Zea mays: one gene and its partners. The main gene of each other region encodes a partner of the protein of the gene in region 3 in a complex. Links are inferred from orthologs where the notes say so. Each region holds a gene or a part of one and is shown on either strand. Other genes may lie near its edges.

Region 1 (3,482 bases), on a different chromosome or scaffold from region 3:
GGCTCGTTCCGACTCGTGAGCTGTGACAAATTACTTAACATATAGAATAATGATATAATGATGGATATTAGCTAATTTTATAGATTGTAAGTTACTTAGCGTTTTATGATAGATATATAAAAACAATAATTTAGATTACTCATAATAATGAATGATATCTATATATTTCATATTTATATACTAATAATTCACTATATAATGAAATTATATAATATCAGGGTATGGCTCGCGAGCCGCCTTTGAACCGAGCCTGTTTCTCCAGCTCGTGAAACAGACGAGCCGAACCGAGCTCGGTCGGCCACCGAGCTGCACCGCTCGGCTCGTTTCCAGCCCTAATCCTAGGGTTTGTTTGAGAGCAAGAATACTAGAAGGGCTTATAAGAGTCTAAAATTCTCATGTTATTCAATTTTGAATATCATTGCTCTCAAGCAAGCCCTTATGCAGATAATGTTCCTAGGATTACTCACCGAGGGAAAATATAGGGATCTCTAGAGGATTTGGATTTCCAAACTACCTGTTAGTGTGCCACCGTAGTTTTGTTGTCCATAGCAAGACAAAGATACATACAAATAAAGGCACAGATATACGTGACTATGGCCCTGTTCCAATCTCGCGAGATAAACTTTAGCAGCTTTTTTTAGCTACTTTTAGCCATTTATAATCTAAACAGAAGAGTTAATGGTGGTAATTGAAACTAAACTTTAGCACTTCAATTCATATAGCTAAAGTTTAGCAGGAAGCTAAAGTTTATTCCGTGAGATTGAAACGGGGTCTAAGCCCCATCTGGATCTCAAATTCTCAACGGATTTTAAGGACCTGACAAAAAGAATCCCAGAATACCACAAGTGCAGCACAGTAGCAGTGCCCTCTGCACGTTTATAGCACATAGCAGTATGATTTCAAGGCCACAGGTGGGATCTATTTGGCGTACTCGTTTCCGCTGAGGTGCTCAGCTCACAGCAGAAATAATACAGGCAACGAAAGCAAGTCCCAAGGAAGGAGTGTAGGACGCGGTAGATCCTCCACTACTGCGGCTTCTCGTAGCTGTTCTGGTCCCTGAACTCCCCGATCTTGCTCCTGATCATGTGCGCCACGTGAGGCTGCACGAACATGTTGGTAGGGTCGAGCATGTGCACGATGAACCTCTCCGACGGCGGCATCGACGCGTTCAGGTTGACGATGAACTGTGCCATAGGTACGTCGCTGAAAAATAGAGGGACGGACGGACGGCAACCATGTAAAGGCAGGGAGAGAGGGAGAAATGCAAACGAGGGATTCATTTTCAGCTGCGTCAGGAGAGCTTACCAGGAGATGAACAGCCCCTTGATCGCGTTAACCATCTTGCCTGTGCTCTGGACAGGGACAACTGCCTGGTTACATCGCCACACAGAAACAACGTCAGTTGGAGTACCAAAGAAGCAGCACCAGGACTGCAAACTTTTCGCACGAAAACGACGCGCATGAAGGTGATAGACTGGTGTCGCAGTGATTGTAGGATTGGTTGAAGGACAGAACAAAGGGTCAGCAAGATGCTCCACGTTTTCTTGCGCGCATAATCTCAGCGGATATCTTGTAATTCTCTGTGCACGCATTACACCGAACAACTACAGGGCACGGAGGGATTCAACGACAAACATAATAATCGCTTCTATTATTTTCGTAGCGGCAAGTAGGCCAATCATCAACCGAGGTCAGCTGAGTCGGAGGAAGAAGTGGCCCTCGGGGAGTTCCATGATCCGTCCCAATTCCCAACTCTCTTGCTCTCACCATGTCGATTCAGAACGGGAGGGAAAAAAACCAAACAAAAAAGTTCAGATCCGAGACGGCCTCACCGTTGCTTGGCACCGACGACGACGCTCGTCGTGGTCCCGCGTCCCTCCCGGCCGCAGGATTCAGTCCTCTCGCTTCGGATCGGATCCTCCACTCTTCGCTCGCCGGCGGCGCCGCAGCTCCTCTATCTATCGGCCTCACCTTTCCTCGCTTCTCCTTCAGCCCTCTTTGCGGCAGACGATAAAGATGCTGGGCCCGCTGGCTTCTTCGCCCGCCCACCAAACCCATGTTCACAGCCCACGGTCCGACCCATTTCTTGCAATTTGACACCGCAGTTTCCGTCCACAAAAAAAAAAAAGAACAATTAGATCTATACCATTAAAAGATCCAAACTTTAGATATATATCATGGATCACACATGTCATTGACTCATGTGGACCTATATATAAGTGAGATAGTAATGGTATGGATCCAAAGTGGTGATCTTTTAATGGTATGAATCTAAATTTCCAAAAAAAAAATTGCGTACGAATCATGGAACACCCGAGGGCCACTTCCTCCTCTCCTGACTCAGCTGACCTCGGTTGATGACTGGCCTACTTGCCCCTACGAAAATAATAGAAGCGATTATTATGTTTGTCGTTGAATCCCTCCGTACCCTGTAGTTGTTCGGTGTAATGCGTGAACAGAGAATTACAAATTTATGTCCAGCAATAGCAGAACCAAATTGTCATATGACAGTACTTAAAATTCAGTGAGGAACCACACTGTGTAACAGAATTTTGAAAAGGTGATGGTGAAAAACTTACTACAAATCTAGGATATTTTAGGTCTGCAAGGTTGCTGATTAACTAGGTACTAGGTATTCATAAATTTGATACTTAAACTGTCGTACTCATACCCAATAAATTAGATGACCTTAAATTGCGAAATTTCATGAAAAAGGAGAAAAAAATACACAAATCACTTCGCGCAGAGCTTCACACCACCACACAGCAAATCACTTGCGCATTTATTATAATTTTGGACAAGAACGTAGCTCATTTGGTGGGGAAGTAATTATCAAACAAAATAAAATTTGTGCGTGCAGCATGGACGTGGCTATATGAATGCACGGCATGTGCAGATGTGCCGCTGCCCAAGATTTGCTAATACAAGTGACCAAAGATGTGTTAGGTAGTAGTAATTGAGGAGACAAAGAGAGTGAGAGACCTGCGGCCAGCGGCCTCCAGCCTCCAGGTGAACATGACTGTGACGGTCTCAAACAATCAAACCTGAGGGGATGTGCAGTGTGCTGCACGGCTTGTAGCGGTGCAGCCCTGCACCCAGCACGCTGGAGAGCTGGTCTGCTGCCTGGCCCGCCCGCTCGAGGGAGATTGGGATTTGGGAGGACGAACGAGAGAGTCGAGTCGGCGACGATGACAGAATAGAAGCTAGTTTTCTCACTTTGCTGGTCACTTTATATATGTCGGTCATTGAGTCTTAATTCTATGGCCCGAATTCTTTAGTGCCTGTTTATATGGGCTCGTGAGGATTAGGGACGAAGAAGAGACTACCATACTCGTCCCCGCTAAACCTGATGGAGATGATTCTTTCTCATTTTAATACCTCATTGAAATAAATTGTAACTATCCCCGTCTTGTAATATCTCCGCGGGGAACGGGACTTCATTACCATCTCTACCTAGGATTGCCAAACAGAAATGACATCGA
Region 2 (4,523 bases), on a different chromosome or scaffold from region 3:
GCACCAATACCGAGCATATCCTTTAGATAACAAAACCGAAGATATGGTAGATGTAGTTCTTTGTCCAAAGACTAGATAGCATCTATCTAGAACCAAAGGAAAGACTTAAAGCAGCCTATCCAGTTCCATATGCAATTATGCATGTTGCCGATGTAATAAATAATTTGACAGTGTCTACAGGAGTGAGTCTTAATGCAACTTGAGACTCTTATAGACTTATAGTCTTATTAAGTTATTATCAATATAGATAGTTGAATGGAAAATCTAAAACAGACAACAATATGGAATTAGATGCTTAGACACCATTTCATATACTTACTATAAACCGATGATGTTCCAGAGGACATGCCCAATTATCTAACAGATATGGACGATTTATGAACTTAGCTGAGTTGCATAGGTGTTACACGATTAGACACATCCCTCATTGCCATATCTATATTAATTGTAGGGTTTATATGAGAAAGAAATTTACAAGTGAAAGAAATAACCTGCAGAATTCCCATTTCGTGCCAGCTGTTGACAATGCCATCCATATAGGAATAACTGACAAAAAAGCAAACTATGCCATCTGGAACAGCAGAAGCCATTTCCAGCAAGAGGCGGCCATAATTCCTCACAACACCAGGATCACTACGCATATCGAACTTTGTACTCACAGGTAGCTGATCACTGAAGATGATGGAATGGTTGGTGTTTACACAGTGTACAATGCTACCAGTAATATGAAATGTTGGAAACAACTAAAGATGTTATAAAAGCTTAACATAAGTGTCATATGATTCTCAGGAATAAAAATGTATCATGTATACGCAAGACAGTGTTAGCATTTCCAAACCTAAGAATATGTTGACAATGCTAGCATTTAAAGACTAACATAAGTGCCATGCTTAACATAAGTGTCATGCTACAGTACAGTAGATTTTGAAATATGAAGTTCGCGTGGGACCAGCTCATACCTTCCTCGGGTCAAGACCATGGGACAAATACAATCTCTTGTTAAGGACATGGTGAAGCTTCTGCTTATGACAGGATTAAAATTCAAGAGACGAGGGTAAAGATCTATTGGGCTGAGAGTTCCAGAAGTGATCACAACCGTTTCGAAACGATCAAAAACAGGTCTTATTGCGAGTGAAGCATCATGGCAACTCAGCTGCAGAACAAATGAGTTCATTAGTAGCACACTAAAGAAGCAGAGTGTGTATACAATTTCAGCATGATCACAAAGAGTAGTCTGGGTACCTGAATAACAGGATCACGAATATCAGGCATTCTATCATCATACGGCTCTATTATAATAGAAAAGCCCCGTGTATAAGTTCCAATCAGTGTGGCAAAGTCACATATGGTCTGTATGTGCATGAACTCATCTGTATCAGTTATCTCTAATGTCATCATTAGGGAGTGTAGCCGGTCATAACAAAACCTCAGCATTTTTTGGTCGATTCCAGCCTGGGAATGGATTGAGGCAACAAAGGAAACTGGCATTTCATTCTCAACATTTTCTGTTTCAAGCCGGCCATCAAGGAATCTCACAAGCCTCCGCAAGACAGCAAGAAAATGTTCAGCCCTCCTTATGTTTCCAGGAACAGCTTCCTTCAAGATGTCATCAGGCAAAGACGGATTCGCGAGCCAAGCATCCGATACTTCATCACAAGAAGCATAATACTGTGAGCTATATGCAGAAGGCTATAGCTGACAGTGCGAAATGCAGTACTGGTGGCAAAAGGCCAGTGCTTACTTGGTAGATTTCCTCGCTGTGCCAGTCCATCCACCAGTCTGTTGTATTCAGCACGAAGCCTATTGGCATCGGTGGCCTTGAACCTTCCTACCAGATAAAGCAGTTGGCAAAGCAAGCTTAACTATCCATCACAAAGTTGAAGATGAATAGTTCTAAAGAAACAGGACCTATCGTTCAGTGGCTATTGGTGGCTGGCTTAAGTATATCCAACAATTGGGAGTGGTACCTGTCGATCTCTTGCGAGATGCGCCGCAGATTTCGCTCTGCGCCTTCCAGCGTCTGCTTGCGGATGCTGACGCTCAGCGCCTCTATGCAGACATTGTCAATGTTGTGAGCCTCATCGAACACGACCACACACTCCTTCTGCATCTCCCTGGACACAATGCTGGCCACCTTGGGGTCGAGCAGGTACTGGTAGCTGTACACCACAACATTGGCGTACTTGACCATCTGCCTGGCAAGGAAGTAAGGGCAGACCCGGCGCTCCCTTCCGAGCGCGCGGAGGTCTGCCAGGGTGTACACCCCGGGCGGCATGAAGGAGGCGAGGTCGCCGGCGGCAGCGGCCCGGTCGAACGTCTCGTAGAACTCGCACAGCGGGGTGGAGTCCGGGTCGGAGGAGGCCTTCTCGCGGACCCAGGAGGCCGTAAGGCGGCGGCAGGCGGTGTCGACGGAGTCCCGGGCGGCGGCGGCGGACGCCTGCGGGTGGATGCAGAGGTTCTTGCGGGAGGAGAGGCCGAGCGCGAGGAGGGAGCGGGAGGCCGCGGGCGGGAGGTGGGCGAAGAGGAGGCGGAGCTCGGCGAGGGTCTTCTCCATCTCGTGCACGGTGCGGGTGCAATAGATGAGGCGGAGCGGGCGGGCCGGGTTGGCGAGGGAGTAGGAGGTGATGAGGGAGATGAGCGCCGCCGTCTTGCCGGTGCCCGTGGGCATCTCGAGCAGCGCGTGCCCGCGCGCGTCGAGGGCGCGCTTGAGCTCCCCCATGTACGCGTGCTGCTCCGGGTAGATCGCCGCGTACGGGAAGTGCACGGGCAGGCCATCCAGGTCAAACCGCATTGTGGCGGAGGGGAAAGGCAACCGAGGGGCAACGCCGGAGGGGTTTGATTCGCCGGAGAGCGGAGAGGCGGAGACGGTGCTCGCGCCGCCGCCGCGGGGTGGAGATCACGTGAGGTGCTCGGTGGAATGCCCCCGTGCAGAGGAGATGCTGGTGGGCTCGTAATCGTAACGAGTATAGGCTTCTGGGTTGGGCTGGTACAGAGAACAGAGTCGGCTGCGAGCTACGGGCTACGAATGAACGATACAAAGGGTGGGAAGGCCACTCATAGCCCTCTTTGTTTCAGTTTTTTCGGTTTCTGTCCACCAAAAATTATTGTGGACGGTTAAACGCTCAACTTTTTAGCTAGCTTCTATAAAATTAATTTTGGTAAAACCATCTGAAATCAATATAAACACATAATCGGTTGAGTCGTTGCAATAATAGGAATCCGTCAATTTCTAGATCCTGAGCCCTATAGACAAATTCATCTTTCTTTGCACATAATCGCAACGATACTCAAATTCTCTACACATCCAGATTCTCCCCACATTCAGATTCTCAGAAAAGTTGAACCAAACAGGCCTTGTACCCCTAGAGTAGAATTTAAAGTACAACCTTCTGGGTTGGGCTCGTACAGAGATCTTACAATTTTTTATTGCGACGGCTCACAACAATATTGTGTCCTCCTCGGCAACACGCACGGAGAAAGGCCAAGAGCAAGACCGACACACCCCATATTCGTGTCGACGAGCGTCGGTCGGCTCGCGGCTGCAACCGTGGGCGGGGGAGCAGGTTGGGGAGGAAGAACATGGCGAAGGCCAGAAAGACGAGCGAGACTTCCGACAGCGGCGAAAACAATGGTGCGCGCATGCTATGAAACGTCCTCATGGATGTGCAATAGCCACTGCGTGGGTCGGTGTAGGGGCTGGTGTCAGACGAATATGGGGAGGAGGCGTCTGCTTCCACACCCTCCGCCGAGAATGGGGTGGCACGGAGGCGGAGGCATGAGGGGAGAGAGAAAAGAAGTAGGATGACGAACGAGGTGGTGACAACTGAGTCGAGTACTATCATTATCGTGCGAAGGTACAGATGATCAAATGTGTCGTGTCTGGTGGGCTAGTCTGAGGCACGACCCATTTAATAGTGTCTAGGCCAGCCCGACATGAGTGTTGTGCCATGCTTGGGCCGTAGCCTCGACCCGACACGATTATATATTTTTAATTTTACAAAAAAGCATATATACACATGTACAATTTATATTCAATATTGAAAACATCTGAGTATGATGTTCTACTGGTTAGACGATTTCACCTAGTGTCTCCCGCCATTCTTCCAATAGGCGTGGGTTCAAACCCCACCTTCGACACTATTTTTTAACATTTTATGCTGATTTAACCAAATGGCCCGACGGGCTAACGGGCCGGTGTGTCGTGCCTGGGCCAGAGCTGCGGTCTGCGGGCGTCGAGCCCGTGCCAGGCTGCCGTTAAGGGGACAGGCGTGCAACAGGTTAATTTGAAGTAGATGTGATGTGTTATTTGTAAAAAGATGACGCAGAACGACTGTTGAAACTCATATTTTAATATAGTAGAGATATAGAGAGAGATTTTAGTGTATTTTGGTTAGTTCTATTTGGTTTAAAGCCTTAGGTGGCCAAGCCAAAATTTGGTCAGTATTTGACCATATTTGACTCTAAATTAAAATTTGGTCAGATAATAAATTGCTCATTTATATAGCTTAGGTATAGTCAAATAA
Region 3 (4,533 bases):
TTTAGCCGGTTAGGGTTAGGAGAATAGGATAGGAAGGGTTTAGGAGTATCAGTCGGCATGCTAGCAGGCTAGCAGCAGCCAACACTCCAACAACGACACGACCTGCACACGTCGGGATGCCTTTGGGCTTTTTTGCTTTGCTTCATGGGCCAAAAACACAACATGTGAAATTGTGAATTAATATTTCGGATATCCAGTGGATACCCATGGATAAAATATATTATCCGTACCCTACCCGACGTATTTCGGGTACCCCACCCGACAGGATCCACGGGTGAGTTTTTCAACCCGTATCCATGTTCATTGGGTACGAAACCCGTGGGTATCCATACCCACGGGTCCAATTGCCATCCCTAGCTGCGTTATAGCAAATAGCGATTCCCATTGCCTAGGTACAATGCCAAATAGGCTCAGTGCTCAACACTGAATAAGACGAGACGAGGAGGTGCTACAGTCTGCAAAAGGATGTCCGCCACTCTGCCCCTGCGGAGGTGAGCAGCGGCTGAATCCCTAGAACGTCGGCAGGGGAGAGATGGGCACGGCGGGTGACTGGGTCCCTCACGCAGCAGTGGATGAGGAGCAGAAGACGGGGCACAGAGCAGCGGGGGATAGTGTGGCGGTGGCAGCGCAAAGCGAGGCGAGGCAGACAGCTAGAGTCAAGGCCTCGCGGTCGCGGGTGTTGAATCTTCATTTCACGCCCGGAGATAGCAGCAGTGGGACCAGGAAGGACGATGGCAGCGCTTGCGGCTGGGTAGGATGGCGTCGTCGCGACTGGAAAGGGGAGCGGCGGGGCGACACGAGGGACAGGGGAGGAGGAGGAGGGTGCGGGCCGTGATGGCAACAGGAAAGCGGGATGAATGAATGGACAAGCGGACGAAGAACACATGACAAAATGAGAATGGTTGGATGGAGATGAACTAGCTCTGCCAAACCCCGATAGGAGGAGAGACTTCCCACGATAAGGAGAAAAGTGGATTTATGCCATTATAAAACTTAGGATTCGCTCAAATGCCATTATGGGAACACGCTTCGCTAAGAGACCATTATCAAACGTTGTCTTACAGACAAAATGCCATTTGGGGGGTTATTTGAAACTTAACCTTATTTGATTATATTGGCAGCTAGTGGCCGGACACTTTTGCCCCTATCAAATCTGTTCGCCGTTCTCCCTCCCCCGACAAATTCAGAACACAGTCGGCAGTCGCTAACACGCGATGGGATACGGCGAACACCGAGCAGCAGGTCTCTAAACTAAAACTTTGGCAGCACTCTTAACCAGTCAACAACAGATCACCAACCATTCGATTTCACACAAATGTAATCCTACTGCAAGTGCAACAGCCACCTTTAGAGGCGTTCATTAGCAAACGCTAGAAAAACTGCAAATGGCCATATTCATATCGAACCAATATGCATAGTTGAATCACGTAAGAAGCAGACCAGACCAATATGCCACTAGTTGAAGAAACAATCAAATCGAACCAGTGGAGATCTTTATAAATTAATTCGAGATAATAACTAGGCAAACCAATTCTATATCATAGTTTCATTCAATAGGATGGGATAGCAGGCGATTCGAGCTGTTGATTGGGAATCTAACCGAGCTGCTCACCTGCAGATTGGAATTGGATCGATGGATGGACCGCGGACGCCCGCACGCCGATTGGATCTCCTCCTCCTTGGGCGGCTGCTAACTGGGTTGGGATGGGACAGGAGCCTTCCTCGCCACAGCTGCCGTGCCGTGCTGCTCCTCTTCTCCGAGACGCTGGGACCCCGATTAGAGACGTCTGGAAGACGGGAGGCGGAGAGGTATGACGTGACGGAGTTTCGTCGTCTAACTCCACCGGCGCGCTGAACCTTCAGCTCGGCCTGCAGGAGGACGCTGGGAGCTTCGGCTGCGTCGGGGCAGGAGCCGGTCGTTAGGCCGAGTAAGCGGGTGCGGTCCGGATCACCGGGGGCGCTGGGGGAGGGCCGGGCGGCGGTGGGACTGCCAACGGAGGCGCGAGCTACCCGATGTGCCAGATGGATGACTGCCGAGCGGATCTGACCAGCCGCCAGCGCCCGCCGGTGGAGCTCGCCGAGCGTCTGTGGACCACCGCTGGTGGAGGGAGAGCGCCGAGCACCGGTGGAGGAGAGCGACGTCGTCGTCGGTTTTGGTGGAGGGGACACAGAGGATAGAGAAGAGAGCGCCGTCGGGTTTGAGATGCAGGCGCTTTTAGTTCGAAGGGCAAAAGTGTCCGGTTACTGCGGTTACTGGCTGCCAATATAATTAAATAAGGTTAAGTTTTAAATAACCTTTAAATGATATTTTATTTGTAAGACAACGTTTGATAATGGTTTTTTAGCTAAACGTGTTTCTATAATAGTATTTGAGCGAATCTTAAGTTTTACAATAATGACATAAATTCAATTTTCTCCGCGATAAGACGCGATAAGATACAGGAACTATGGTGCTCAAGGCTCACTATAAACTACAAGAACAGACACTCATTGTGCTTAGTCTAAGAGCCTGAAATTATAACGACAAACACCGATATCTAGTGAACAACAAACAAAGAAAACTAGTGAAGAACAAACAAATTTACTCTTGTACAGTATACAGTGACCAGCTGCCCCAGAGGCTATAAGCAAGCATACTGATATTGCCATCTAGACTTTAACTGGCTGCGGTCCAACAAGCACAAAAGAAAAGTAGGCTACTAAAGAATCAGATCAAATACCTGTTATAAGAGAAACTGAGAACCTGCAGTCTGCAGAGAAGCCAGGTCTGGCTGAGTGAGTGGGTTGCAGCCGGGGCCGGACAGAGGCTCGACGCGCGCGAGCCGGGGCGGGGCTCGACGCCTGGTGGACTGCGGGCGGGCGGCGGGCGGGGCGCAGCCGCTCGGGGCGGAGATGGAGGCGGGCGGCGCTGACGGTGGCCTAGGCCCTGGGCGGCTGGGCGATATCCTGCTCCTCGAGGCGAAGTAATTATTTTAGGGTGTGTCTGGTATATGACTCTGTTTTATTTTAGAGCAGCTTTATTTAAAAAAACTCTAGATATATTAGTTTTGTATCATAATTTAGATTGTTTTATCATGGCTAGTGGCAGTGATAGGTACTCTAAAAATTGTTTAGATTGTTTTTTAGAGATTTTGAGTAGTAAAATAGGTACTTTAAAAAATTGTACTATAGTTTTTAAAACTCTACGTAGTTTGCAACTCTGAAGCTAGAGTGTTTGACAGACGTTGGTCGGTTTCTCAATAAAGTTTTGCTCTAGAACTATGTCAAACACGTACTTAGTCACTTAGGAGTTAGAGATCTAAACATAATGAGCTAAAAGTGACTAAAGGCATGTTTGTAAGCAACCTAACTTTTAAGATTCTAGTTTTTAGAAACCTGGTTTAAAAGCACTAGATAGTAGTGTTTGAAACCACATCAGTTCTTATAAACTGCCTTTAGCTAGGGGAGACTAGCTTCTTAGTTTTAAGAAACTGAGAATCCAACTTTTATAAATTATAAAAAAAAACTAGTATGTTTGGAACCACCTCGATTTCATAGACCAATTTTTAAAAAAAACGAGTGTTTCCAAATAGGTCTTAAATATAGTCACTTTTAGCTCTTCATATTTAAATGTTTAACTCCTAAATGATTAAAAATAGTCATCTTTAAAGTTTAACTCATAAATGATTAAAATTAGTCAATTTTTTGCTTTAGCTCGTGAGATCCAAATAAACCCTTAGATCTGCCCCTAGTTGAAGAGACTGGTTTTTTTGGTTGACCATGGTCCTTGAACAGTTTGGCATTGCGAGGAGGCTCAATGTTGAGTTGAAAGACAAACATCTTTTTTCTATTTGTCGGTCAATAGAGTGGGTTAACGTGTATCTACAAATATGTTGAAAGTCGCCTAGAGGGGGTGAATAGGTGAAACCTGAAATTTATAAACTTAAACTTGCACTAAGGTCGGGGTTAGCATTAGAATTAAATTGGAATTCGAAAGATAGCTCTCCTGACTTAGAGTTGCTCAATCAATGCGAATGACGTTTGGGAGCAAACTCAAATCAATATGAACAAGGGAACTTTAGAGAGAGGAAACAGGGGAACAAATCAAATGAGAATCAATGCAAGTGGACACGATGATTTGTTTACCGAGGTTCGGTTCCAAAGAACCTAGTGCCCGTTGAGGAGGCCACAAAGGCCGGGTCTATTCCAACCCTTTCCCCTCTCAATCGGTCACATAGACCGGTCGAGCCTTCTCTTTAATCAGTTGGTTCACTAAGACCCCGCAAGGATCACAACACACTTAGGTGTCTCTTGCTAACTTTACAAAGCACTTATGAGAATAAGAATAGAGAAGGAGAAAGCAATCCAAGCAACAAGAGAACACAAATATTTCTCTCACAAGTCTCTTAAGCACTAGAGTTGATTTTAGGAGCTTGGAGTGGATTGAATGTTTTGAATGCGTCTTGGAGTGTTTGGCTTTGCTCTTGCAATGAATGTAGAGTTCAGAAAACTTGGATGCCATTTAAGGAGGTGGTTGGGGGTATTTATAGCCTC
Region 4 (4,097 bases), on a different chromosome or scaffold from region 3:
GACGACGGGCTCTCGCTTGGCGGCCCAGGAGACGAGATTGGCGCCCAGGAACATGGTGTAACCAGAAGTGGACTGGCGCGTGTTGGGACAGCCAGCCCAATCAGCGTCGGTGTAGACCACGAGCTCCAAAGTTGGGGAGGGTCGAAGTAGAAGGTCGTAGTCGAGGGAGACACGGAGATAACGCAGGATCCGCTTGAGAGTGGTGAGATGCGGCTCTTGTGGGGTGTGCATGTGCAGGCACACCTGCTGAACGTCATAGGCGATGTCGGGCCTAGAGAAGGTCATGTACTGGAGGGCTCCGGTCAGGCTTCGGTAGGACGTCGCGTCGGCGACTGGAGGCCCGTCAGTGTCGACAGGCGTGGAGCAGGGCTTGCAGCCGGACATGCCAACCCGCTCCAGGATGTCGATGGTGTACTGCGCTGGTGGAGGAAGAGACCCTTAGGCCGGCGCTCGGCGGTGATGCCGAGGAAGTGGTGAAAAGGCCCCAGATCTTTAATCGCGAACTCTAGCTGAAGGGCGTCGATCATGCGTTGTAAAAGGTCGGCGATGGATGTCGTGAGCACAATGTCGTCGACGTAGAGCAGGAGGTAGACGATGTCGTCCACGCCGGTAGATGAACAAGGACGTGTCCGACTTGGCCTCGCCGAAGCCGATGGAGGCCAAGTAGGAAGCGAAGCGACTGTACCATGCCCACGACGTCTGTTTGAGGTCGTACAGGGAGCGGTTCAGCCGGCAAACCAGATCTGAACAAGCGGAGTCAACGAAGCCGGTGGGTTGGCTGTAGTAGACAGTCTCCGTCAGAGTGTCGTGGAGGAAGGCATTCTTGACATCGAGCTGATGAATCGCGCAGTCCCAGGAGCAGGCGAGGGTGAGAACGATCCGAACGGTCGCGAACTTGATGACGGGGCTGAAGGTCTCGTCGTAGTCGACTTCGGTGCGCTGGGTGAAGCCCCGAAGGACCCAACGGGGCTTGTAGTGGTCGAGAGAGCCATCCAAGGTCAGCTTGTGGCGAAAAATCCACTTGCTGGTGACCACGTTGGTGCCTGGTAGATGCGAGACCGGGTCCCAGGTGTGGTTGGCCAACAGGGCCGTGTACTCCTCCATAGCTAGAGATGGCAATGGGTACCCGTAAACCACGACGGGTTTTACCAGATATGTTGGCAGGTATGGGATGGTTTCTCTGCACGTGGGTACATTAGTGGGTAATAATCTCTACTCGTTGGGTAGACGGGTACGAGTATGGGTGCGTACTACCCATACCCATGTAACCGTGGGTAAAATATACCCGCATCATACTATTATTGTCAATAATAAAGCATATCTTAGCTAAAAGAAAATCATTCTCCAGATATTATTTGTTTAACTATTAATTTATGTAATCACATGGTTTGATATATTTTAAGATACTTATATTTGTGTCTTTATTTAACATTCTAAGTGATAAGAATATTAGAATGAGACCTTCCGCGGGTACGGGTTACCTGACGGGTAAAATTACCCGCGCGGGTACGAGTATGGGTAAGATTCTATGCCCGCGAGTGTATATGGGTAACCCGACGGGTATAATTTTTATTGATGGGTATGGGTATCGAATGGTACTACCCGATGGGTATATACCCGTTGACATCCCTATCCATGGCGCGACAATAGTGGGGGTCGGCGAGGGCGGCGCGAACGGAGGAGGGGACTGAGGAGGAGTCCGGAGGAGCGTTAGCCGTCAGGATCAACCGATCGACGGCGCGGAGAACGCCGGTTGCGTGACGAGTCACCATCGGGTGGACGTGCCCGGGGTGGCAGTGGATGGCGACCGGATGGTACACGGGAGGCTCGGTGGGGGCAAGCGGGTCGTCAGGAGCGGAGGAAGGGGCCATCTCGCAGCGGTGGTAGACGAGGGCGGGTCGTTGAAGCGAGTCGCGCTCGTCAACGGTGCTGGTTCGACGGGGGCTAAGAGAGTGGCCTGCCCATGGCGGTGGTAGACGAGAGCGGGGTCGACGAAGCGGGCGCGCTCTTCGATGGGGCCGCGCGTGGCGCTGGCGAGGTCAACGAGGCCGCACGTGGCGTAGGCGGGGCCGCGCGTGGCGTTGGAAGAGACGCGAGCGAGGGCGTCGAGGTCGCGCGTGGCGCGGGTAACGGCGCGAGGCAAGGCGTCTAGGCCGCACATGGGGCGGGTAGAGGCGCGAGCGTTGGCGTCTGAGCCTACGGAAAAGCAGGCAAGAGCAACTGGGGTGGAGGGGGAACCAGATCGGACTCAAGGAGAGAGAAGTGGAAAAAGAAACCTAGCTCTATACCATATGGGAAACCCTAATCCTAACTCAGGGTTAGGTGATGTATTAATGGACCAAGGTTATTGGGCCTGGCCCATTACACAAGGGTGTGACGGTAATTACAAGGGACTAACCCCAAAACCCTAAACGGGTACTCTAATAGGAACAAATAAAGGTACCAAAAAAGACTCTCATCAGACAGGAAACACACTTGAACATAAAACTTACCCGCAGGTTGAACACTTCTTCTGATTCTTGCAGAATATTGACAAACAAATTGAACAGACATATCCCATGTCAATAGTCTTCTTATGGCAGAAACACCTGCAAATCAGTAAAACAATGCTGAGTGCATTGATGTGCCACCAATACTAGACACGGAAAGAAATAAAACAGAACTAGAGTTGCTAATGTGGACCAGCCTTTGACCTGATTGTAAAATTACAGAAAAAGAAAAGGAAGATAAGTCTAGTCTAGTGTTGATGGTTAATAGAGGAAACGTACGAAGCACGGAAGTCCACTCCAAGAGTTTTTGGAAGGCGCAGAAAAGCTCTAGAGTGTAAATCAGTTGCAAATACAGCCTACATTATTGTTGAAATGTGTCAATGAGCTCGAGGAACTAAAAGAGAAATAAATTATTTCAAATAATCAAATAAGCCCACACAAAGTTATGTATACAAACAAAAGAAGATGGTATCAAAATAATATGGTATTCAAATAACAAATTTCGCTAGTAAGACACCGTATTGCCATACTAAAGTGAAGAAAGTCATCTGCACAACAACTAGATCTTGGTTCCGTCAATCAGACATGGCTAATCTCTTAGACATATGTAAAAATAAAAAGAAGTGACTAAGATATAATCTGATTAATGTTTGCAGCACTTATTGTGAAACAACAAACAAGAACAAAGATCTGAACTGCAAAGGATACAGAAGTGACCAATAAACTTCTACAGCTCTTAGTCTAATTCACAGTTCAGGAAAGCACAAAAGGCAAAAGATCTCAGATTTATTAATTATAATAGCAAACCAAACATGAGGAAAATAAATGCAAATAAAATTTTCAATTGGTATGATAACAAAATGGTAATAATGTCATCACGTTTTAGAGGGTAGTAGATTTAGTGTGATCGAAGTTCTAGGATAATCCCTTTCGCTATTGTGTGAAAATATAGAGCACAATACAACTATAAAATATATTATTCTATCAAAAAGACCATAAAAATAATAATATCATAATAATAAGTACTAGGTATATGTCTGTGCGTTGCCACGAGGCGGGTAGCGTGGGGGCGGCGCCTAGGCTGTAAATATAATTATTGTTTATTTCTAAACACTAAAATACATGTAGTCTGGTGGTTAGCCCCAAATTATTAGAGCAGAGGGGTGTGGGTTCGAGTGCTTGCTTTGCACTATTTTTTACGGGTGCTGGGTGTGGGGAGTGTGAAGCCATGGTAGTATAGGTGCCAACATTAGCTTCTTAATAGATTAGTATAGAAGTATAGATATAGATTCCCGTATCATCATCTGCCATCTTGTGACTCCTAGTCCTAGGAAATAAAAGAACTAAGGCCTAGAGCCTAGCGGTGTGGAGTCCTTTTACCTGTCATCCCATCACTGCCTGATTTAAGGTCAGGGCCTAGGATTTAAAAACACATCTTAGGTTTGCTGATAACTTCACATCACTTTACTTTGGCGAAGGATGAAACAGAACATCACACTTTTGTTAATGTAGCGGTTGAGAGAACCCATTCCTTGTTGTCATGATCCCTCTTATGAGGGAAAAGTTTGGTAGGAAGGCTTCCGTAGTTTACCAACTAAGGGAAAATAA
Region 5 (4,651 bases), about 30 Mb from region 3:
AATGAGACTGTAAAAAGAAAGGAAATGCCGTTAATCTTTCATAACGATCGAATAATCAAAGGTAAAATCAAAATTACATCTTAGCACCTCATCCAGTGCAACTGTGTAAGATCCACCAGTCTCTTCACATAGATGTTTGCAAATGAAGATCTCTGCAGCAAGACCAATAACAGAGCATCTAATTTTTGACTTCTTACACTTTGCTATTGTCTCCGTGATATCACCAGGATCAAATGTATTCAGGGCAGAGTATAAAATCAGAACTTCCTTGTGACCATATGATGGTACTTGATCTAAATAACCATGTACGAGGTCTAGAGCATTCTGCAGGGATGAATCACCAGAACACTCAAGCTTCCCCATCAAAGCCTTAATCTGTGACTCTGGGCTCCCTCCGATTTCTGTAAGTCGATGGGCAATACCATCTTTAATTGTCACTAGGCCAACATGGCTCAATGGATTCTGGTCAAAGAATTCTCTTATGAAAGCCTCAGCATGTTTTGCAACAACAGCCATTCGACTAGGACGATAATCCATCTCTGAAGCCGCCTACATGAGTAAAAAACAATTTTGAGAACGCAAAGGTGCAAAGAGCGTGTAATGATTATTTGAAGTAGAACAATTCTTCGCTGCCACAAAAACAACTGAGGAAGCCAATCTTATAAACTTGAAACATGTATGCATGCTCAAAGATAAGGTTATAAAATTACCAGAGAAAAAAACAATTGACAAGGATGTTAGAGAGATATTTTTTACGAGAAATGTGCAGTTTCGAAACAATACAAAAATCAAAATGTATGCTTTGTCATATCAGAAAAAAAATCCATGTTAGTTAAAGCAGTGTTTGATTGTTTCATTCTCAAATCTCAATTGACATTATAAAATATACAATCAGCTGAATAGACATTATTCTTTGCACATTTTTAACAACAAAAATAAATTATCACATCCTGATGACTCTTTGCAGTAAGTCCTGGAATAATGTTACCATAAGTCAAATGAACATGTATCAAATAATTCCATATCTACCTAATTCATCAGTGAAGATTAACTGTTCATTTGTGCAAATCCATAGGGTCTGGATCAATACCAAAAAAAATGAAAACATCCTTTTATTTTTAAATTCCAAGAGTAGTCTATATTTTGTGTCTACATATAGAAGTGTTCCATAGATCAACTATGTGGTAATTGTTAAAGACCTTTTCCTGCAACCATAGTTCATGCACTTCTTGTGATGTCAGGATTTTGTTGGAGCAAGCCATGCCAATGGTAAAAACAAAACCATATGGCACGTGATTTGCTTCTCTACAGAAATCTATACAAGGATTGACAGAGAGAATTAACTTCCCAGATGTGGGGAAACAATTAAAAAAGCATCTTCAGACATATCCAGGCAGCAATAGCAATAACCCTCCCCAGGAACACCTTCAAACTGATGAAAAAAAAAATAGTCTGTTTGATGAGGGAGACATGAGACATTCACTCTATCCGACATATATCAAATATACATAGTGTATCCAGATCAGAAAGTATGCTTAAAAGTTAAAACATTTCAGAATTTAACAGGATTCATCCGATAAGAACCTCATGCATAAAATGAAACGATAATCCAATCTCAATATATGAAAATTCCAAACAAGTATTGTGTCATCAACATTTTGTTTCAGCAATCCAATTGGTGTGCACACATATAAAATTGAACTTGGACTGCTTGGTTGTGGTAGGCTTGAACTCCAAACAAAATATTGCTGCCAACAGCAATACTAACAATTGCAATTTGCAAATACCTGGGTTCATGTTTCCCTTCATGATTCATAGACATGAGTCTATTATTCTGCAGTACAGAAATTCTTACCGTATAACCTTAAGGTAGCATTGGTTTCTGGATTTAGTGGAGAATTAGGTCTCGAGTTCTCCATACCTATGCCCTGGCCAATGGGCCATGGATACAAACCATGGTAGATCTTAGAATTTCCAAAATACCGTTTTTACCCATCTAACAAACTGTTTCCTCACATAAAATGATTGATCTCTCAAAGACTCAATCTTAAAGTTGCTAAATCAGCATTAGATTCTAAAATTGGCCTCGTGTCTTCCAATTACAGCATCACCCTCTGAATGTACAAGCCAAATAAGATAATGGTCACAGCTTGGGGCTAAACAAACGGCATTAAAGGCAACCAATCAGATCATATCACCTACATCGCTCTACAAACAAATAAACCAGGATTACTCACAGACAGGCATCACCGCACCATCTTCACAACATTTCACAAGCTTATAGATGAACCTACAGGTATACGAAACTAGCAAAAGGCAGTCCTAGTATTCACTGCTCCGTTCATGCCTTAAGTAAGTGAACACTTAAGAACCAAATGTGTAGCCCATAAGTAAGGCCGTAAGCAATGCCACATCTCTCTCGGAACAAGAGATCGCAATCACAAGCCGGTGTCAAGTTAGCACGATCGGCATTTGTACCAGTCTGTCGGGTCCAAAACAACCAAACCGACTTCGAAGAAAAATATGCTCGCCAGGTGCTTGATGATGTGGCAAGCCGAACGAAAGAGAACATGAAGCAAAGGGAACGAACCCGGGAGAGGTCTATGACGATGTAGAGGTAGCGGATGAGCCCCTTTTGGATGCGGGCAGCGGCGGCGGCGGCAGACCGGAGTAGGAGGCGCCGGCGGTACTGCGCGTGGACGAGGGTCTTGGTGTCGACGGGACGGAGGAGGCCCGACTCATCCTCCTGCAGTGACTCCCACGACCGTTCGTCCGCGTACGCGCGCTCCCACGCCTCCAGGACGCGGCCCTCACCGCCCTCATCCTCCTCGTCCTCCTCTTCGTCGCCTGGGTTGCGGCGCCGAGAGGCAGCGGTGGAGGGCGCGTTGAAGCCGCCGCCGACGCCGTACATGGTGTGGGCGTGGGGAAGGGGCGGCCGCCGACGCCGCCGGAAGAGTGGAACTGGAGGCGAGGTCGGGATTCGGGGACCAGCACATGGGCCAGGCGGGTGCTTGGTGCCTCCAGTTTGGGGCTCCTGGGCTTTTGGTTTGGTTTACAGGAGCCTTAAGCCCCTTTTACCAATTTTCTAAGCATCTGTTTGATACAGGAGCATTCAAAATAGAGGAATGCAAAAAAAAAAAAGCAGCGGAATATAGAAATACCGGTATATCAGAGTAAAGAAAATGTATACAGGAGACATCTGAATAGATAGTTTAGAACACAGCAACCAAAACATAAGAATGCAAGTGGTGCTGACTTCAAGAGTTTACACTTCGTTTTTTTTCTCTCTATGCCATCCTTGATGGAAAATGGGTCAACGAAACATGTGCTACCAACCATCAGACGACATTTGCCAGTCAGTGGTTATCTGATTTCTGCTTCCTTCCGTCAGCTCAGCAACAAAGTACTTAAACAGTGCTCTGAACTTGTCAACTGAGCAGGCGGCTGAAGTTGAGGAGACGTGTAGGCCGACTTTAGGCTAACTGCAGCGGCTGCCGGGCGTCGCGCCCCATCCCCTTACACATGACGGCGCACGGCAGTCCGCAGCGCTGCCCCTACGTCTACGGTGCCTCCCACGATGCAAGGGCGTGCCGTCCTCTTCTCTTTTCCACTGAATGTAGCGTGCGCTCGTCTTCTCTATTTTACTGTAATCTGGATTCGGCTCTAATTGTTAATATAAGAAAAATTAATAGTGGATAAAAAATAATATATGAAATAATATTTTATGGTTGTAGTGAGTTACAAGGGGAGAAAATAGGAGAGACCGCTGCGGGAGATGAAAAGTTAAAGGGCTGAAATATTGAAGATGTAACAAAAAAAAGTGATATATGGAGAGAAATTTAGAGAAGACCGCTGCAGATAGCCTTAGGTCCATGTTTCCCTTCATGATTCATGGAGAATAGTGGCTGACGTGCGACTAGCGTGCTAGTGTGGGCACCCTCTGCGCTCACACTCTAGCCCCGTCCCACGTGCCCTACCTCGGTGTCGTGCTCTGTGGGCCCCACGTGCAAAAAATAGTGCAAAACGATCACTCGAATCCATGCCTCTCTATTCCAGAAATTTGGGGCTAACCACCAGACCACGCGTATCTTAATATTTACAAATAAACAATAATTATATTTGAATACATATATCAATACTTATTTATAAGGTAAATAACAACCGTAGCAAAACACGAGCAATTGGCTAGTGTGTGTATATATAAGGTCGGTATATTAGAAGTCATGAGCTTCAAATAGTTAGAGCAAGCCCCGCCCGACCACCTATGTGACTTGTCCAGGCCAGCGCGTCCACCCACACCCTAAGCAGGCTGTTGGGTGCACCCCCCCCAACCCCACATCTGTGCGCGCAAAAAAAATAAGGAAGGCATACATGAGTCAAACACGTTACTCTACACGCGCGTAAATTTAGAAAAGAGATGTGTGACGATTTTTGAAAGTCGCCTAGAGGGGGGTTGTTGGTCACTTGTTCTCAAATGCTATGAGTTAAGAACAAGACAACACAAAACGTTAATAGTCAAAGACCTTCGTCCTTCGAAGCATTATCTCCCTTAGGATATAATGATCATCAGACGAAGGTTATGAAGGACATACCTTCATCATCTCAGCATATAATAATAAAAGTAGAAACATATGAGACATGGAAAATAACA

The links.
Region 1: general transcription and DNA repair factor IIH subunit TFB2 (region 3) and REX1 DNA Repair family protein share a complex: the UniProt entries of both Arabidopsis thaliana proteins name them as parts of the 7-subunit TFIIH core complex. The link is inferred for Zea mays from reciprocal best matches to the Arabidopsis thaliana genes AT4G17020 and AT1G12400.
Region 2: general transcription and DNA repair factor IIH subunit TFB2 (region 3) and DNA repair helicase UVH6 share a complex: the UniProt entries of both Arabidopsis thaliana proteins name them as parts of the 7-subunit TFIIH core complex. The link is inferred for Zea mays from reciprocal best matches to the Arabidopsis thaliana genes AT4G17020 and UVH6.
Region 4: general transcription and DNA repair factor IIH subunit TFB2 (region 3) and General transcription and DNA repair factor IIH subunit TFB4-like share a complex: the UniProt entries of both Arabidopsis thaliana proteins name them as parts of the 7-subunit TFIIH core complex. The link is inferred for Zea mays from reciprocal best matches to the Arabidopsis thaliana genes AT4G17020 and AT1G18340.
Region 5: general transcription and DNA repair factor IIH subunit TFB2 (region 3) and General transcription factor IIH subunit 2-like share a complex: the UniProt entries of both Arabidopsis thaliana proteins name them as parts of the 7-subunit TFIIH core complex. The link is inferred for Zea mays from reciprocal best matches to the Arabidopsis thaliana genes AT4G17020 and GTF2H2.

What each region holds. Positions count from the first base shown.
Region 1 is NC_050101.1:47,599,280-47,602,761, forward strand, and holds REX1 DNA Repair family protein, read right to left. Parts: upstream 2,019-3,482; 5' UTR 1,833-2,018; intron 1,371-1,832; 5' UTR 1,341-1,370; coding exon 1,306-1,340; intron 1,204-1,305; coding exon 1,026-1,203; 3' UTR 787-1,025; downstream 1-786. UniProt on the Arabidopsis thaliana protein: Component of the general transcription and DNA repair factor IIH (TFIIH) core complex, which is involved in general and transcription-coupled nucleotide excision repair (NER) of damaged DNA and, when complexed to CAK, in RNA transcription by RNA polymerase II.
Region 2 is NC_050105.1:91,195,910-91,200,432, reverse strand, and holds the start of DNA repair helicase UVH6, read right to left. Parts: upstream 3,017-4,523; 5' UTR 2,792-3,016; coding exon 1,968-2,791; intron 1,825-1,967; coding exon 1,742-1,824; intron 1,647-1,741; coding exon 1,243-1,646; intron 1,154-1,242; coding exon 960-1,153; intron 673-959; coding exon 492-672; intron 1-491. UniProt on the Arabidopsis thaliana protein: ATP-dependent 5'-3' DNA helicase, component of the general transcription and DNA repair factor IIH (TFIIH) core complex, which is involved in general and transcription-coupled nucleotide excision repair (NER) of damaged DNA and, when complexed to CDK-activating kinase (CAK), involved in transcription by RNA polymerase II.
Region 3 is NC_050097.1:1,588,680-1,593,212, forward strand, and holds the start of general transcription and DNA repair factor IIH subunit TFB2, read right to left. Parts: upstream 3,200-4,533; 5' UTR 2,721-3,199; intron 2,240-2,720; exon of another isoform or gene 1,695-2,239; coding exon of another isoform or gene 1,619-1,694; exon of another isoform or gene 1,613-1,618; intron 1-1,612. Other genes in the region: uncharacterized protein, read left to right, coding at 1,619-1,694. UniProt on the Arabidopsis thaliana protein: Component of the general transcription and DNA repair factor IIH (TFIIH) core complex, which is involved in general and transcription-coupled nucleotide excision repair (NER) of damaged DNA and, when complexed to CAK, in RNA transcription by RNA polymerase II.
Region 4 is NC_050099.1:247,470,070-247,474,166, forward strand, and holds part of General transcription and DNA repair factor IIH subunit TFB4-like, read right to left. Parts: exon of another isoform or gene 2,865-4,097; intron 2,846-2,864; coding exon 2,769-2,845; intron 2,589-2,768; coding exon 2,493-2,588; intron 1-2,492. UniProt on the Arabidopsis thaliana protein: Component of the general transcription and DNA repair factor IIH (TFIIH) core complex, which is involved in general and transcription-coupled nucleotide excision repair (NER) of damaged DNA and, when complexed to CAK, in RNA transcription by RNA polymerase II.
Region 5 is NC_050097.1:31,349,022-31,353,672, reverse strand, and holds the start of General transcription factor IIH subunit 2-like, read right to left. Parts: upstream 2,932-4,651; 5' UTR 2,912-2,931; coding exon 2,591-2,911; intron 550-2,590; coding exon 88-549; intron 8-87; coding exon 1-7. UniProt on the Arabidopsis thaliana protein: Component of the general transcription and DNA repair factor IIH (TFIIH) core complex, which is involved in general and transcription-coupled nucleotide excision repair (NER) of damaged DNA and, when complexed to CAK, in RNA transcription by RNA polymerase II.